Linked DNA regions of Kluyveromyces lactis. The protein of the gene in region 2 purifies or fractionates together with the protein of the main gene of each other region. This does not show direct contact. Links are inferred from orthologs where the notes say so. Each region holds a gene or a part of one and is shown on either strand. Other genes may lie near its edges.

Evidence for each region.
Region 1: the proteins of ISW1 (region 2) and KLLA0_B02090g purify together in Saccharomyces cerevisiae (affinity purification with mass spectrometry, with the first as the bait; 3 studies listed by BioGRID). This does not show direct contact. The link is inferred for Kluyveromyces lactis from reciprocal best matches to the Saccharomyces cerevisiae genes ISW1 and ITC1.
Region 3: the proteins of ISW1 (region 2) and RSC58 purify together in Saccharomyces cerevisiae (affinity purification with mass spectrometry, with the first as the bait; 3 studies listed by BioGRID). This does not show direct contact. The link is inferred for Kluyveromyces lactis from reciprocal best matches to the Saccharomyces cerevisiae genes ISW1 and RSC58.

The regions. Positions count from the first base shown.
Region 1 is NC_006038.1:181,766-186,517, forward strand, and holds the start of KLLA0_B02090g (uncharacterized protein), read left to right. Parts: upstream 1-1,952; coding exon 1,953-4,752. Other genes in the region: GTPase BMS1, read right to left, coding at 1-1,231. UniProt on the Saccharomyces cerevisiae protein: Functions as a component of the ISW2 complex, which acts in remodeling the chromatin by catalyzing an ATP-dependent alteration in the structure of nucleosomal DNA.
Region 2 is NC_006042.1:642,525-649,598, reverse strand, and holds ISW1 (chromatin-remodeling ATPase ISW1), read right to left. Parts: upstream 3,950-7,074; coding exon 659-3,949; downstream 1-658. Other genes in the region: glutathione peroxidase GPX2, read left to right, coding at 1-330; RRT2 (diphthamide synthase), read right to left, coding at 4,300-5,559; ribosome biogenesis GTPase LSG1, read left to right, coding at 5,722-7,074. UniProt on the Saccharomyces cerevisiae protein: Catalytic component of ISW1-type complexes, which act by remodeling the chromatin by catalyzing an ATP-dependent alteration in the structure of nucleosomal DNA. They are involved in coordinating transcriptional repression, activation and elongation phases.
Region 3 is NC_006042.1:1,593,537-1,597,764, forward strand, and holds RSC58 (Rsc58p), read right to left. Parts: upstream 2,229-4,228; coding exon 2,173-2,228; intron 1,954-2,172; coding exon 501-1,953; downstream 1-500. Other genes in the region: putative divalent metal ion transporter SMF3, read left to right, coding at 1-172; ATP-dependent RNA helicase ECM16, read right to left, coding at 2,545-4,228. UniProt on the Saccharomyces cerevisiae protein: Component of the chromatin structure-remodeling complex (RSC), which is involved in transcription regulation and nucleosome positioning. RSC is responsible for the transfer of a histone octamer from a nucleosome core particle to naked DNA.

The sequences.
Region 1 (4,752 bases), on a different chromosome or scaffold from region 2:
GCAATCCAACATTCTCGAATTTTTCATCAATGGAACGAGATGTAGCCTGTAGGTTGGACACGATCTTGTCACTTTCATCTTTTTCCTCTGCAGTCATTGAGTTTGGACCTGTCTTACCGCCAACATCAATGAACACGGCATCCTTATCCATAAGTAAACCACCAACGTCAGACATTGGAGCATAGATCAGCTTTTGTTTATCATCCAATCTTTTACGTCTTCTTACAGTCGTTGCTGATGTGGAACCTTCTTCCTTAGCACGTTCACGTTCAAATTCATCTAATTTCTGTTGGTAATAAGGTGTCGGACAAGGATCAGGCAATTTCTCAACGTGATCGATCTGGTAGTCACCTACACCGGCGATATGGACCCTGTAGCCTGGAGTCGAAGGTAACGGAGTACCGTGTAAATAACCATAGATGGCGACTTTACGATCTATATGCATACCCTTCGATTGTAAGAGTTCTGGATGAGTTAAATCGGATATTCTATCGGCCAATAAATAAGGATGTTCGTTTCTCCATTGCAAAGGTCTGAACTTCATAACACTTATAAACCTTGACAAGTTCAAAATCTCTCTATCTGGATAACGACCGTTAATAACACCAGAAAGGTAGAAAAGCTTGGCACCCTGATACACTTCGGTCCAGAACCTATGTTTCAAAGATTTCTTAGAGGCACGCAATGTTGACTGGGATTTGAAAAGATCCAAATGTGTAGCGACACCTAGTACACGAGGCATACCATGATGTTGAGCCAAATTCAAGAATTCCATGGTCTCCATTTCAAACCCGAAATTACCATCCATCATCAAAAGCACCAAATCGGCCACTTTTGAAATATCGATCATGGAATTCAAATCATCCGCAGGACATTCGATAAAAGTCAGCCTTCTACGCTTACCAGAAACAACAGTAATAGGACCGTTAATTTCGGATAAAGTGGTCTTTGTCAACCTTCTCACTAACGATTTGATCAAAGTAGTCTTACCGGTACCTGGAGGACCAACAACAGCAATAATGATCGGAGGAGGATCATCATCTGGGGTACGATCCACCATCGGAACATGCAACTTCTTCTCATTCTTATCACCCGTACGTTGCATCTGCTTAGCCATTTTCCCCGGAGCGGAGACAGCAAAGGCCTTAGCATTGTGGCCCTGAGAATGTAACTTCTTCTTGGCACCAGCCTTCTCCTTCCGCTTCCTATGTTCTTTATTCGATTGTTCCATTGCTGAAGCTTGAGAGTCTTAAGATGTATTCAGGCAATGTGATTCGAACTAACTGGCCTAAAGTGACCCTTTTGATTCAATTCAAGATACTAGAATCTTTTATGTTCACCGATGAGATGAGATGAGATGGTTGAGCTTCTTCATGCAATTTTTCATGCAGGGTAAGAAAAAGAAATGATCTGAACCTTGTCGATATCTAATCACGTGATTCTGCACGTGATCTGATTTTTAAGAATTTAAGGTATTCTGTCAGTTTTGTAGATATTCCTACATGTCTCTGCCGTAGTAACTAGGGCCCAAGGGCATATGGAAAAAAAAGCGTTCATCGAAATTCGAACATCAAAATGAAATCGAAATCCAATCAAATGCACAAACAGAACAGGATAGAACAAAGGTCAATGAATCAACGGTTGGATTCCGAATAAAAGTCGTTTGTTTCATTCGTTTCCCTAAAAGTTGTTGTGTTTTTTATCTTTAGTTCGTTTGTGTGGTGATTTGGATTTCACAACAAGAACTGTACGTTCTACACCAGTTATATTGTTGTGGATACGAGACAACATCTTTTGGTCATAGAAAACACATACTGTTCTTATTCTTTCCAATCTGTGTGCGTGTAATTTTTACTGAGTTGAAGCAGGAAAGCTAGGATAACAGAGTCTTCAGTGGTGTGTGTTTCCTTGTTGAGCTTTTTATTTTTTGGATAGAATACACAGTGTGAGCAATGGTTTTGTATAAAAGGAAAACGATAACGTTGCCAGATGCTAGGCCATTACCGTCAAATATCAATAGGAAAATATGGTACATTCAAGAGACAGGGGAATGGTTTTTGACTTATGCAGAGTTTTTGCAACGATTGGATTTTTATAGGCGACATTATTTCACCTGTGAGATCACTGGTACATCATGTTTAACTTTTTTTGAAGCGTTGAACAGTGAAGAAGAGCAGTTCCAATACGTTGAGAAAATGTTCCCTTTAAAATTACGTGAACCTGTTGCAAAATTCATCCATTTCAACGAGATTAGAAGGCTAGATATGCTCGTCGAACAGGTATATGCAAGATTTAAAAACGACTATTTCCCTGGAGAAACGGTATACCTACGGAAAAGTAAGCAAGATTCCTCACATGACGATGCTGAAAAACATCATCAGCACTCACATGGATCACAGCATCAAAAAATTTACATTATCAAAGAAAAGGCTCAGTTTAATGCAGTTATAGATAGAGATACAAGGCAAGAATTGGTTCCTGCCCATGCAAAATATATGTTACAGGAAGCACAAGGTAGTACTTCAATCGTTGCCGATGAGGATCAGATTTATCGTGATAGATCATGTTTCACTAAGCATTTGATTAAATGTTTCTGTAAGATAACGTTGCGTCGTGCTTCAACTAAGATGGGTGCCCCATGGTGTGTGAAAGATGAATATTTGCCCATCTATAATTTAACCTTAACGTGGCCAGAAAGTATGCTAAAATACAAGGAAGATTACGTAGATCCGCAGTATTTGCAACAACTTCAACACATGGCGGAACTTAATCGAGAAAGAGAAGCTTCGGCAGCCATTGGTGAGCATAAACGAGAAATTGAAATTGCTAGAACAGAAACACCAGATCAGAAAAGAATAAAAACTGAAGAACTGATATCTGAATCCTCACCTTCGGTTGACCATACCAGTAACGACAATAATCAAATAACCAATGGCGATCAACAAAGCATAACGCAAATCACTGAAGATTTGGAAATACCTTTCATGGCACCAAGGCCTTCAGCTATCAACGATGCACTTTTAAAATACTCTAAGGAGTATGTGCCAATCTCAAATTCTCTCGATAAACCATTTGCGCATGATATTGGTAAACTCCTTCATTGTTATCAGTTTTTAATGGCATTTAATGCGACCCTTCAACTTTCGGAATTTAGTTGGGATGATTTTGTAAATTCTTTGAGATTTACTGATCCGCGCCAAATGATGGACGAGTACGTAACGATTAGTTATGAGGACGGTACGGGTACTAAGGTGGAAAGAATTAATATCTGGAATGAATCGATATATAAATATATTGACTCTTCAAATTCAGAAAAAATGAAGTTCACCTTGTCCTTGGACACTATGATAAATGATGACTATTTGGACGAGTTGAAAATAACAGGTACTTCCTTGATAGTGGAGTGTTTTTGTTCACTGTTAAGGTTGTTCATAGACACCAGTGGGGATTGGACGACATTAGTCCCTTCGGAGTGGCTTGAGGAGGACACGGACGAAAATTCGAGTGAAAATGAAGATTTAGAGATGGAAGAAAACGACGAAGTTAGTGCTGATCTTGAATCGTTATTAGAGAAGTGTTTAAACTATCGAAAAGTAAAATGGACAGACAGGCTTTCTAAGAGGCAATTTAACAATGGTTTCTGGTTGATAGTTCTCTTAGGTGTTCTCCAAGACTTCATGCATTTACCAATGTATAAATCGACAATTCAAGGCTTCATCAAAAATCTGGTGCCGTCTGAGCACACCCCGTCAAATATTTCCTTGAATAGGTACTTATGGAGAAAGTTTTGCAAAGATATTTCTGTTGAGGAGAAAGTTAACATTATGTGGATATTAGTTGAAATATTGAGCAACTACTCATCAATAATAAGATCTGCAATGGATGATTCAATGGAACTTTGTAACCAAATTAGAAGTGAGAGGTTTAGATTGAATAGGGATCTTAAAGCATGTTCTAATACTGTTGCTGGACTAAAAGAACAATTTACAGTTTCTGAGTTGCAACAATCTGAGAGCAGTAATGATAATATCGAACTGAAAGAAAACCTAAAAAAAGCAACAGATCAACTGGAACGGTTCCAAAGGAGGAAAAGCTTTTTTGATGCTAGGTTGATTGAAGCTGATCTTCAAAGACTAAAACCCTTGGGATATGATAGATATGGTAACAAAATCTACTGGTTAGAATATTGCGGAGTTCCTAGGCCGAACATATTCTCGAAGGCTTCACACTTATTAAGCAATAGATTGTGGATCCAAGGACCTGTCAAAGAAGCTGTGCTATACTACTTCAAGATAACGGAAGAAGAGTACAATCAATGGATTTCTTTAGCTAACGAATTGGGTAAAATTCAAGCCACCAAACAGGTTTTCCATGTTTATCGCGATGAGAAAGGTTGTTATTTCCACTACGATAAAGAGGGAGATATCATGTTGATAAATGAAGAAGGTGTTTTCAATACGTTCATTGAACTTTCGCCACTTCAAAGAAAAATTATTGATGAGACACCGGAAGGTCTTTTGTTTACTCCTAATGACTGGATATTCTTGCAAGATCCTGAACAACTCATTTCGATGACTAATTGGTGGGACAGCTGGGGAAAACGAGAACATGAAACACTGAAACAGTTGCAATCAGTTATGGAGCCGGTGATAGAGACATTAAATCAATATAAGACTCAAGTTCAAGACGAAGTTACTGAAAAAAGAGAATTGTTACTGAAAGAGATTGCGGCTTTGGAAATAGCGGATAACG
Region 2 (7,074 bases):
GAGGATAAAGGGTTCATTGTGTTGGGTTTCCCATGTAACCAGTTTGGACATCAAGAGCCAGGTACTGATGAAGAGATTTCTCAGTTCTGTCAACTAAACTACGGTGTTTCTTTCCCAATCTTGAAGAAGGTTGATGTGAACGGTTCTGAAGCTGACCCAGTCTACGACTTCTTGAAGAACGAAAAATCCGGATTGTTGGGTTTCAAGGGTATCAAATGGAACTTTGAAAAATTCCTTGTTGACAAGAAGGGTACCGTTGTTGAAAGGTACAGTTCTTTGACTAAGCCATCTTCGTTAGAAGAACCTATTGAAAAATTGTTGAATGAATAAATTTGATTAAAACACAGACTCCACTCTACCATTCTTGCTCTATTTATAAAATGTATTGCACTATCCTCTTCCGGAAGTTGTTAAAATCTTTTCATTGAACTGTTGGATTCTATTCTATATCTAATTAATTTACTGTGTTCAAAGTAAATATAACCAACTGATAATAATAATAACTATGATAATAAAATAATGATAATAATAATAATAAGAGTGATAAAATGAATCAAAAATTGCATAAAAACTAAGGAACTGTTTTCGTTTTCAACAAATTTTATATTATTTCAGTATTATACAATGGATTCTCTCTATTCAGAAGGGTTTATGATATTTATTCTGTCTTTACCTTTTTCTGTTCAGGTTCATTAAGGCTGTTTCCATTGACTTCGGTGTCAACTTCAGTTGCTTCGTCTTTTCTTTGAGTTGCAGTGCCATTAACTTCTTCTTCTTTTTCTTCTTCTTCTTCTTCTTGTTCTTCCTCCTCTTGCCTTCTGGCTTTGTTCTCCTCTTTCAACTTCTCCCGCAACCTCTCACCTTCTTCATCTTCTTTCTTTAGTCGATCATTTAATTCATCTGTTTTCTGAATTCCGGTATTAAATTCCTTCTCTAGACATTGGAGCAAAGTGATGGTTCTTCTCTGTAATTCAATTGGCGTTCTACTTTGGAAAAAGAAGTCAAGTTCGAACAAAGGATGGTGCTTGATTTCATCCCTAATCATTTCGTATACGTTCTCTCTATCAAGTCCGTATTTGAATAACATCAACAAGATAAATCTATCTTCCTCTTCGGAAAACGTTCTCTTATTGTTTGTAGATGGTGGGAACTTCAACTTGAGTTCAAATAGTGGGTTTGCGCATTGGCTGATCTTTCTACGTAGAGCTTCTTGATTCATCTTTACTCGTCTCACTCTTTCTTCTTCCGTCTCAATATTCTTCACGTATCTTTCATAGTCTTCCACTCTTTCAAGATTGGCCCAGAATGCTTTAGCATAAGCCCTCACTTCTTCTTCTGTCTTGCTACCACCGAATTCAGCAGCAATGGCTTGAATAGAATTACGACCATGTTTACCTGATGCAGTAATGAACTTACGGAAATCCAACTTATTCCAGTTATGGAAGCCTTCTTTCTCCCATTCAATTTTATTATTAGTTTCCTCTTCTGTCAATGGTTCTGCATTGGCAATCGATAGCTTTAGAAGTTCTAGTTTATCTTTCTTTTCTGCTTCATCTTTCACGTCACCATAAGTTGTTACAACGTCATCAAGGTTGGGAACATAATTGTTTTTCTTTGCAATCCACATTCTTTCCTTTTCGTAAATAGCCTTTAATTGTGGTCTTAATAATTGGTGGCTATTTAGAGGTTGTAATTTTGGCATCTTTGGTGGAACCGTATATTGATTGTTACGTCCAGGGTTTAACACGTCTTTGTAATAATTATCAACAGAATAGTTAGCATTCGTTGAACGTTCACGTTTCGTAGGTGGGATAAATAGTGGGTTAATGATATCCTTTTCAACCTTCTTTTTAAAATTTTGACCATCCCATTCATATGCAGAATCTTGGTTGAATCGTTGAAGTTCATCCAAACCCAAAGTTGCATACTTGGCGTTCAAACTCCTGGTCTTATCTTCAGATTGTGCTAGCAAGGCATCCAAATCCACATCTTCATCCTTGTCCTTCCCATCATCTGGATGTGGTGTTCCAGTTTGACTGGTCATGGCACTACTGTCATTGCTCTTGAAGACATCAACAGCACCATGCTGAATCATAGAAAGTAATCCCTCTTTGGAGTCATTTTTATTCTCCTTCTTCTTGTTAGTGACTCGCCCTTGTTGGATGACTAACTGATCCAATTTTAGTTTCTGTGTAGCTCTTTCCAAAATCTTCTCTTCCACACTATTGTCAGTGACAAATCTGAATACCCGCACTTGCTTTTTTTGGCCAATTCTGTGCGCACGATCCATTGCTTGCAAATCTGCTTGAGGATTCCAGTCAGAATCGTATAAAACAACAATATCTGCAGTAGTTAAGTTGATACCCAACCCACCAGCACGAGTAGTTAGAAGAAATATGAACTTCTTAGAATCTGGTGCATTATAGTCATCAATAGCGTTGATTCTATCTTCGTGTGCAGTAGAACCATCGATTCTACAGTACTCGTACTCACGGAAATAGCAGTAATCCTCCAAGATATCGAGCACACGAGACATCTGAGAGAAAATTAGGACACGACTGCCTTGTTCCTTGAATTTTTTTAGTAATTTATCCAACACTTTCAATTTGGCTGAATTGTATACTAAATGCTCGTCAGTAGTGTATGGAGGACCTGGTTCTGCACCATCGAATAAGTATGGATGATTGCAACATTTTCTCAATTGCATGACAATATTCAACAAACGGGTTTTTGATTCCTTTTGACCGTTTGAACCATTAACTGCATCTATATCTTTTTCGAGAATCTGTTTATACCACTTTTTTTGCATTGAAGACATACCAACATAGACGTTCAATTCCTTTTTAGGTAGTAATGAACCTTCGACGTCGTTCTTGATACGACGTAGCAAAAAGGGACTGAGCACAGTGTGCAATTGTTTGACCACTTTTTCTTTATCCTCTTCAGATGATTCGCTAGAGAACCATTCATCAAAGGTTGCCGAGTCAGCAAAAATATCAGGCAATAAGAAATTCAATAAAGCCCAAAGCTCATGAAGATTATTTTGTAGCGGAGTACCAGTGATAAGTAACCTGTTACGAGAGGAAAATTCTCTAAGAACCTGGGATAGCATGGATTCTTCATTCTTAATTCTATGAGCTTCATCAATAACAACATACTCCCAGTCAATTTTTTTAAAGGAGGCTTTTTCTCTAATGATAATCTCATAGGATGCAACACAGATATCGAAATCGCATGCTAAAAGCTTATCGTGACATAGCTTAGATCTTTCCTCTTTATCACCTTGAAGAATGAAGGCGCTTACCTCTGGAGTCCATCTATTAATTTCCCTGAGCCAGTTGTTTAAAGTCGATTTAGGAGCTATCACAAGGAAGGGGCCATTCTTCTTTTCAATATATCTTAGATAACCCAAAAATGCAATGGTTTGTAACGTTTTACCCAACCCCATTTCATCTGCTAGAATACCAGCTAGTTGATTTTTGTGCAACGCTACTAGCCAGTTCAAACCTTGGATTTGGTATGGTCTTAACTGTCCGTTAACATAAGCTGGACTTTCTCTGAATTGGAAATCGACATCAGCAAGCTCCTCTTCCTCTTCTTCTTCATCTTTCATAAGTTCAGCATCCTCTTCCTTTTCAGTCTTACGTCTGCGGGCATCTGTATGTTTCTTTCCCTTACCATTTGCTTTGCCGTTGACATTATCAATAGTGTCCAATACCTCTCTAAATCTAGGATCCTTGGCAGCTTTCCTTTCAATGAAATGTCTGAATAAAGTAGATAACCCAAGCAAATGTTCGAATCTCTTTACTGTTCCCTGTTCATCAAATTTGCGCTTCCCTGATGCCAAATCACGCAGTGGTAGCAAGTATCTTTCTTTCTTCTCAGCAATGCTGTTGGGAATTCCCTCTTGAAAGGGTTTTAATTTCTCCAAATACTCAGGTGAATCCATCTTTAATGACGTGAGAACCAGTGAAACAAATTTGCTGCTTCAGATATCAGAAATTATGAAGCTCCTACTACTTCATCAAAATACCAATCTTTGAAGTCTTTTTCTTTATATTAACTGAAGTAATTAAATTTTAGATCAAAGGATTACTTACCCAGTTTTTCCAAAACTTTCGTGTTTTGGTGTTGCAGGATGAAGATACTTGAAGTCACGTGCGTTAATAAGATGAAACAAATGGTCCTATATTTAAAAAAGAATACATACTGAAGCTCATCGAAACAGCGAAGTGAGAACACATCAATTATGTCTCAATTCCGTCTGCTTTTTTCGTTCCTTTTAAAACTATATGTGTATTAATTTGGACTTTTCCAAAGTTGTAGGGACTTGTCATAAAAAGAACAAGTTGCAACTGTTTCTTTACTCCAATCACCACCGTAACACATTGATTCATGCCCTTCTTTTATAAACTGCTCGGTCACGAAATGATCGTTTTGGACGTTGACAACCTTCGCACCATTATACATGCAACAAACCATAAGTCTGTTATTTGACAGTCCGTCATTCGTTGGGGCCTCCGAGAATCTCCAAACACCACCCTGTAAATTGTCTTCCCATTTATTAACCACAGGGACGTCTGTCCCTGGATATATTGTGGTTTCTGAGAGCATTCTTAGATCAAAGGATCGTATATGGTCATCATAAGAGCCTGTGATTAAACTTGTTGGCTTGTTGCCTCTAAATGTCTCCCTAGCAGCCTTAATTGCCGTAACACCAGCTTGATGAATTTTTGAATTGGACCAGATCTTTTTGCCTGAATTCAAATCATGAGCTGCAATTGCAGAGTCGTCACCACCAGTGAATACAACATCTTTCAAAGGAGCCAAACAGCCGAACTCGCCGGTCCAGCACTCCAAAGAATGTTTGAAATGAAAGATTTGTTCATGGTCATTCTGAACATTTATAACTTTGATGTCTGCATTTGGCACCTCAATATAATTTATTGTTGAGGAGTCGAAATACGATGGCTCCACCTCCTCTATAAAGCATATTTCACCATGTATGATATCAACAGTAGCAAAATCCCCATTAGTAGTGGTTAAAAGTACGAGATTATCCAGCAATGGAGAAAACTGGAGAGACGTTATTAGACATGTGGGATCAAATACTTGAAGGTTGTTCAATAGTTTGATATCAATTGATGAATTATCATCGTCGACAGATATCGTCCACAGAATCATATTACCGGTTGAATGAGCTGTTGCGAGTAAAGTATCATCGAATGGATTGAGCTTCAAATCTAAAATTGCCCCATAGGTTTTTATGCTAGAAAGAAGGTTCAATTCTTTATCATAAACCTCAATAGAGCCAGTTCGATTGCCTGAGTCCTTATGCAAGAGATAGGTACCCACAATGATAAATTTCTCTCTTAAAATACACAAGCAACATGGAGGAAGACGCGTGGTAACCCTTTTATCAGCTGCAGTTTCTTCCATTCTGCAGAAACTCTTGACTTCTAATTTTGTCGCTCCTCTAAGGTGGTATGCAATACCTATGTTGGAGTCGTACTCTGCATCCTCATCATGCGGGTGCTTTTGTAAAGATTGTTGAGCCATCCATCTGTTCTAGTTCAGGTTTACCACACAATTTCTTTTTTACACTTTACGTACTAGCGGAAAATTTTAATATGTTAACCAGCTCATCTCATCATAAGCAAAGCATCAGCACAACAATCTTAGCAGTTAACGGCAGGTCTACAAGCAACACGGACTAGCAGCATGCCACCAAAGGAAACAACAAAGAAGTGGAAACCTCCAAAGGGTCCAAAGCCTATTCAAAGGAAGAATAAAAACACTATTGGGTTAGGTAAGGCAATTCAAACTGCAAGACGTAAGGAAAATGAAGTGCAGTATTTGCCAGATGGTGAAGAACGTTTCACTACCGATAAGCACGAAGCTAATTGGGTAAAATTGAGATCTGTTACTCAGGAATCTGCATTAGATGAATTTTTGAGTACTGCTGAGTTAGCAGACAAGGATTTCACAGCGGACAGACATTCTAATGTCAAGATCATCAGAATGGATAACGGTGCCGATGCAGCCACATCCCAGGGATTTAGTTTGACCAATGAGCAGAAAAGTAAGATCAACGAGAAGCAGAGATTACATGCTAGAGAGTTGATTGTCCCAAGAAGGCCTAAGTGGAATGAATCTATGACCAGATTTGAATTAGAAAGGTTAGAAAAGGAAGCATTCTTGGAATGGAGACGTAAATTAGCCTATTTGCAAGAAGACAACGAGGATTTGTTATTGACTCCATTCGAGAGAAACATTGAAGTTTGGAGGCAGTTGTGGAGAGTTGTTGAGCGATGTGATCTAGTAGTCCAAATCGTGGATGCCAGAGATCCATTATTATTCAGATCCACAGATTTAGAGAAATATGTGAAAGAAGTGGATGACAGGAAACAGAATTTACTTTTGATCAACAAAGCGGATTTATTAACAAGAAAGCAACGTATTATTTGGGCCAAGTACCTTCTCTCGAGGGGCATCTCTTTTACATTCTTTTCTGCTGCCAAGGCTAATGAAATATTAGAGAGACAAGAGGAACTAGGGGATGAATACGTTGAAGAAGAGGACGATGAGGAAATACTGGCTACAGAGGAAGAAATTGAAGAACTTGATGGGGAAGAAGTGAACAAAGAAATTCTGGATAAAATTAACATACTGAAGATCGATCAACTTGAAGAATTGTTCTTAGATAAAGCGCCAAACGATCCGCTACTTCCTCCATTGCCCGGTCAAGAGCCAATCATACAAATAGGTCTAGTGGGTTATCCAAACGTTGGTAAGTCTTCCACTATAAATGCCTTGGTGGGTGCCAAGAAAGTTTCTGTCTCTTCTACCCCTGGTAAGACCAAACATTTCCAAACTATCAAGTTATCTGATAAGGTAACGTTATGCGACTGTCCAGGTCTAGTTTTCCCTAATTTTGCATACAATAAAGGTGAATTGGTGTGTAACGGTGTTCTACCGATCGATCAGTTACGTGACTATATTGGGCCATCGACATTAGTGGCAGAAAGGGTCCCTAAATACTTTTTGGAAGCCATTTACGGTATCCATATTCAG
Region 3 (4,228 bases), about 950 kb from region 2:
ATCTGCAGACAGTACTGAAGAAAGTAGATTATTATCGAAAGGCGTTAAGTCCATTGACTACACCAATGGAAGACTGTTGAGCATCAGTTCATTTGTTATATGGTTGACAATTGGTTCATTGAATTGTTATCTTGTATTTTCATACCTCATGGGAGCGGACGTGCATTTTTAAGTCTAAGTAGGCATTTTATATAGTTTTGATGGATTCTGTTTAATCTATAATCAATTCGTAAATTGTACTTATTGGATCTGCTTTGTTGATCTCTTCTCTTGTACCTTTGTTGTGGTTAATTTCTTTGTTCTTTATATAATCTTTAATTGTTCTTGGACATTTACCTTCGAAAGTAATTGAGGAAGTAAAAAAATCGAAACACTGATGGTTTCAGAAAATAACTCCAAATAATAGTAACCGTTAGCTATCACTGATAATAAACTAGCCCCACAGATTATTGCACACTACCACAGCTGCGATTTATAGATTCTATACGGAAATATCTACTTCACTGCATAACTTTCTTACTTTTCTTTTTTCTAGTCGATATGGTCTTGACGACAGGAACTGATCCGGCATAATTAGTCTGAAGGACTGGGAAATGTTTCTCGTGCAATTTTGGAGATGTCACAATCTGTTTAGAAAGTAGAGCTTCTTTCAAGATGTTCTGTGCTCTATGATAAAGGGAAACTTCCTCACTTGTTGGTTTTGATATCTTGTTCAGCTTGACCCTTCTCGATTTACATGCCTTTAGCTTTAGCAATATCTCTGTCAATAACCTTTGCTGTTCACCTTGCTCAAAAGCCGTTATATCTTCATCATGTATCTCATGGCTAGGTTGCCAGTCATAAAGATTTTTCAAATTAATATTGACAGGTCCAGCTGGCTCCGTTGTCACTATTACTTCATCTCCCTCCTCATTTGTATCTTGCTCTTCATCCGTGGCAACATTCTGCTCTTCATCATTTTCATTTGATTCCTTTTTTTGGTTGTCAGATCCGATACTGTCATTTGCTTCCTCAACCTTTTGATCTTCAATACCCTCATCCTTTATTTTTTCATCTTCAACATTTTTATCTTCTGCTTCCGCAGCCCCTCTCTTCTTCGATTCTATTTCTAACCAGCTTTTGTATCCGACCTTTTCCAACCATATGTCTCCTTTACGGGAACAATCTGTTACAGACTTGAACTCCGAGATACTCGGAGCAAAAGATTGATAGTCGCCATACTCCAACCATTTAGTAGTGGGTAGCGGGTACCAATTCGGATGCAGAAAGGAGGTCATGATTTCTGTAGGAGAAATTGTTGGATCAGGAACATTGGAAGTGTTAGCTGCTACGAATCCCAATCTATTGGCTGGTTGGGATGTTGCTTGAGGAATAATTTTCACAATTTCACATTCCTCGTATGGTACTTCCTTTGGCCTCTGATCAAGTACTGACCTCGTTATCACCGAACTGAACAAATGTCCCTCCTTTGTCTGCGTATGGTAAGTTTCAGTAACGGGGAGCTGATAAACTTGACTAATTTTAAGGAAATCATTGGAAATGGTTTTTGAAAAATCACTTTCTTTGAAGTCAATGTCTGCCGCGAAGTCTCCCACCAGTTTGGCTCCAACTCTATAACATTCCCTTAGAATCAATTCTGCTGCAAATTTGTAGAATTTGTCGACCATTTGGTACGACCTCGTTCCTTGAGAGTAGTAGTGAATTAAAATGGAGCATACTAATTTAATATCATGGTAAATCCGATAAACAGAATCTTCATGCTTCTGGTAATCTCCACTAGCAAATTTATCAGATATGGAAATTGAATCAATATCTTCTGCTATTTTGATATCTGGATTTTCATCAAACTTGGCCCTTAGAAACTTCACGTAAGAATCGTATATGTGTGTTGGATCAGGCTCGTAGAATTCTTTAGGAAACCTTTCATCTAAAGCTCTGCATTTCGAAGATGCACTAATTAAATCAAAATAAAATTAATACTGTTAGTATTTGATTGTAAAATAAAATCATGCTTTGGCAAATCTAACACTGAAAACATAAAATAAAGACTTGAGGAACCCCAGGTCATCGTATGCTGGTCTTTAATTTATTATTATCACCGATTCTAGACAAAAACATGTGCGAATGCAACATAATTCGAATGAAAAATGTGTTGTTTTTATATTCACATACCCTTTTAAAACAGTTAGTAAGTTCTGAAAAAAATTCTCTTTTAGCAGCTCTACCATTGTTTACTTATTTTTAGCCCACTATAAAAGAGTTTGCAGACCTTGTACTCTCTCACTGCCCATCAGTTTGTCATTCAGCAGTAATGTAAGAAGCCTTTATTGATCAACCTGCGCCAAAACCTGTGTTTTCATTATGAAAAACATCAAAACCGTACATCATGATCCAACTGGCATCCATTGACAGCTTTTACAGAGATTCCTGTCACAGCAACAGTACCCAGTCATAGCCTAACAAGCTAGGTATTGGCCTTTAATTATTCCAATGCAATTGGTATTATATGAGTTAATTAATTCTATAAATTGTACTGGTGTAGTTCTAGGGTCTTTTCGAAGCTTGATAGTTTTTAAATGCTTTTGGAGTAAGGAATTTCTTGACCGTCCATACACCTTTCTCTTTCTCTTGATGAACAGGGATAGGATTGAGTTCCCAACCAATCTTGATGTCGCTATCATTGCAAGATCCAAATCTAGGAACAACATAGCAGAATCTTTCTGTTGGCGATAAATCAATAGGTTTCAAACCTTGTCCAGTGATTGGTTTTCCGTAAGTGAGTAACGAGCCCTTTCTTGCAACGTTAGCCAATGGCGTGCTTTTAATGTCACAAAGAGACTTCATCCTTGTTTTCGCCTTTTCATTATTTTTATTGACATGTAGTGATTGGAAAACCAAGTATTTCGGAGGTTGCTCGCCAGAATTGTTGAGAATTGAGGTTGGATGAATATAAACAAAGATATCATCCAAAGAAGATGTTTTCTCAGCAAGGACTGGAACATAAGGGATATTGAAAATGTTGGTTTTGTTGATAGTAACGTCTTCCGGGAATAACTGGTCTGCGCGAACGGCCACCTGGTCGATAAATCCTGCTGTGATCATTTGCTTGAGTAATTTGATTTGAACATCGGTGGGGATCGAGCTCTTCAAGTCTTCGTCTTTAACATTTACAGCTACATTTTCTCTCGAAGTAACTGACCTGATGATGAACATCACCTGCTTTCTCAACTTCATAATCTCCTCTACGGTTTTTGCCCTTAAGAAATTTTTTTCCATGAAAGAACTGTGCTGATCCTTTGGAATGAAATCCAACGCAGATACTGCACTTAAAAGACGGAAAACATCACTGAATTTATCAAGCTTACTAAATCTAATTTTGCTTTTAACATACTTGGAGCGCAATAGCCTTTTTCTTTCCTCAGCTTCGTGATCAGGATAGTCATCTAATTGTCCTTCATCTTGTGTCTTGGGCACAGTATCCATGATACCAAGCTCTTGTTCAGATAAAAACGGCTCACCTACTGAAAGGGCACTGACAATGGTAACAACATATTTCAAACAGTCGCTTTCATTACCAACAAGCAGCATTTTAGAAAATCTTGGACTTAGCGGAAACAAACTCATTGCTTTACCATCATCAGTGATTCTTTCATTACTGTCGAGTGCACCTAGGTGTTGTAAGAGCTTTATTGACTTCATCAAAGCTGGTCTTTCGGGTGGGGTAGGGAATGGAAAATTCACAATATTATGAACAGCCATGCTCTTCATTTGCAAAACTATACTCTCCACAGGCATTCTTAAAATTTCAGGCTTAGAAAACTGCTCAAAATCTCTTTCGAAAACTGCAGAGGAGTATAAACGATAACAATGACCAGGCCCTGTACGCCCTGCTCTACCACTTCTTTGGCCAGCAGAAGCTTTGCTAATCCAGTCAATTTCGAAACTCTGAACACCATTATTTTCATCAAACTTTCTTTCCTTTGATCTACCACAATCAACGACGTATCTTACTCCCGGTATGGTCAATGATGTTTCTGCCACATTAGTAGCAACAACACATAATCTGGAGTTTGGTGGGGGATCAAGGAAGACCTTCATTTGCTCTTTGGTGGGCAATAGCGAGTAAAGAGGAAGAACATATAGTGGATCTCTATCCGTCTGACCTTCTTCAAGTGTTTCTTCAAAACCTTCTTCTTCGTCCTCTTCTTTGTCCTCAATATCTTCCTCA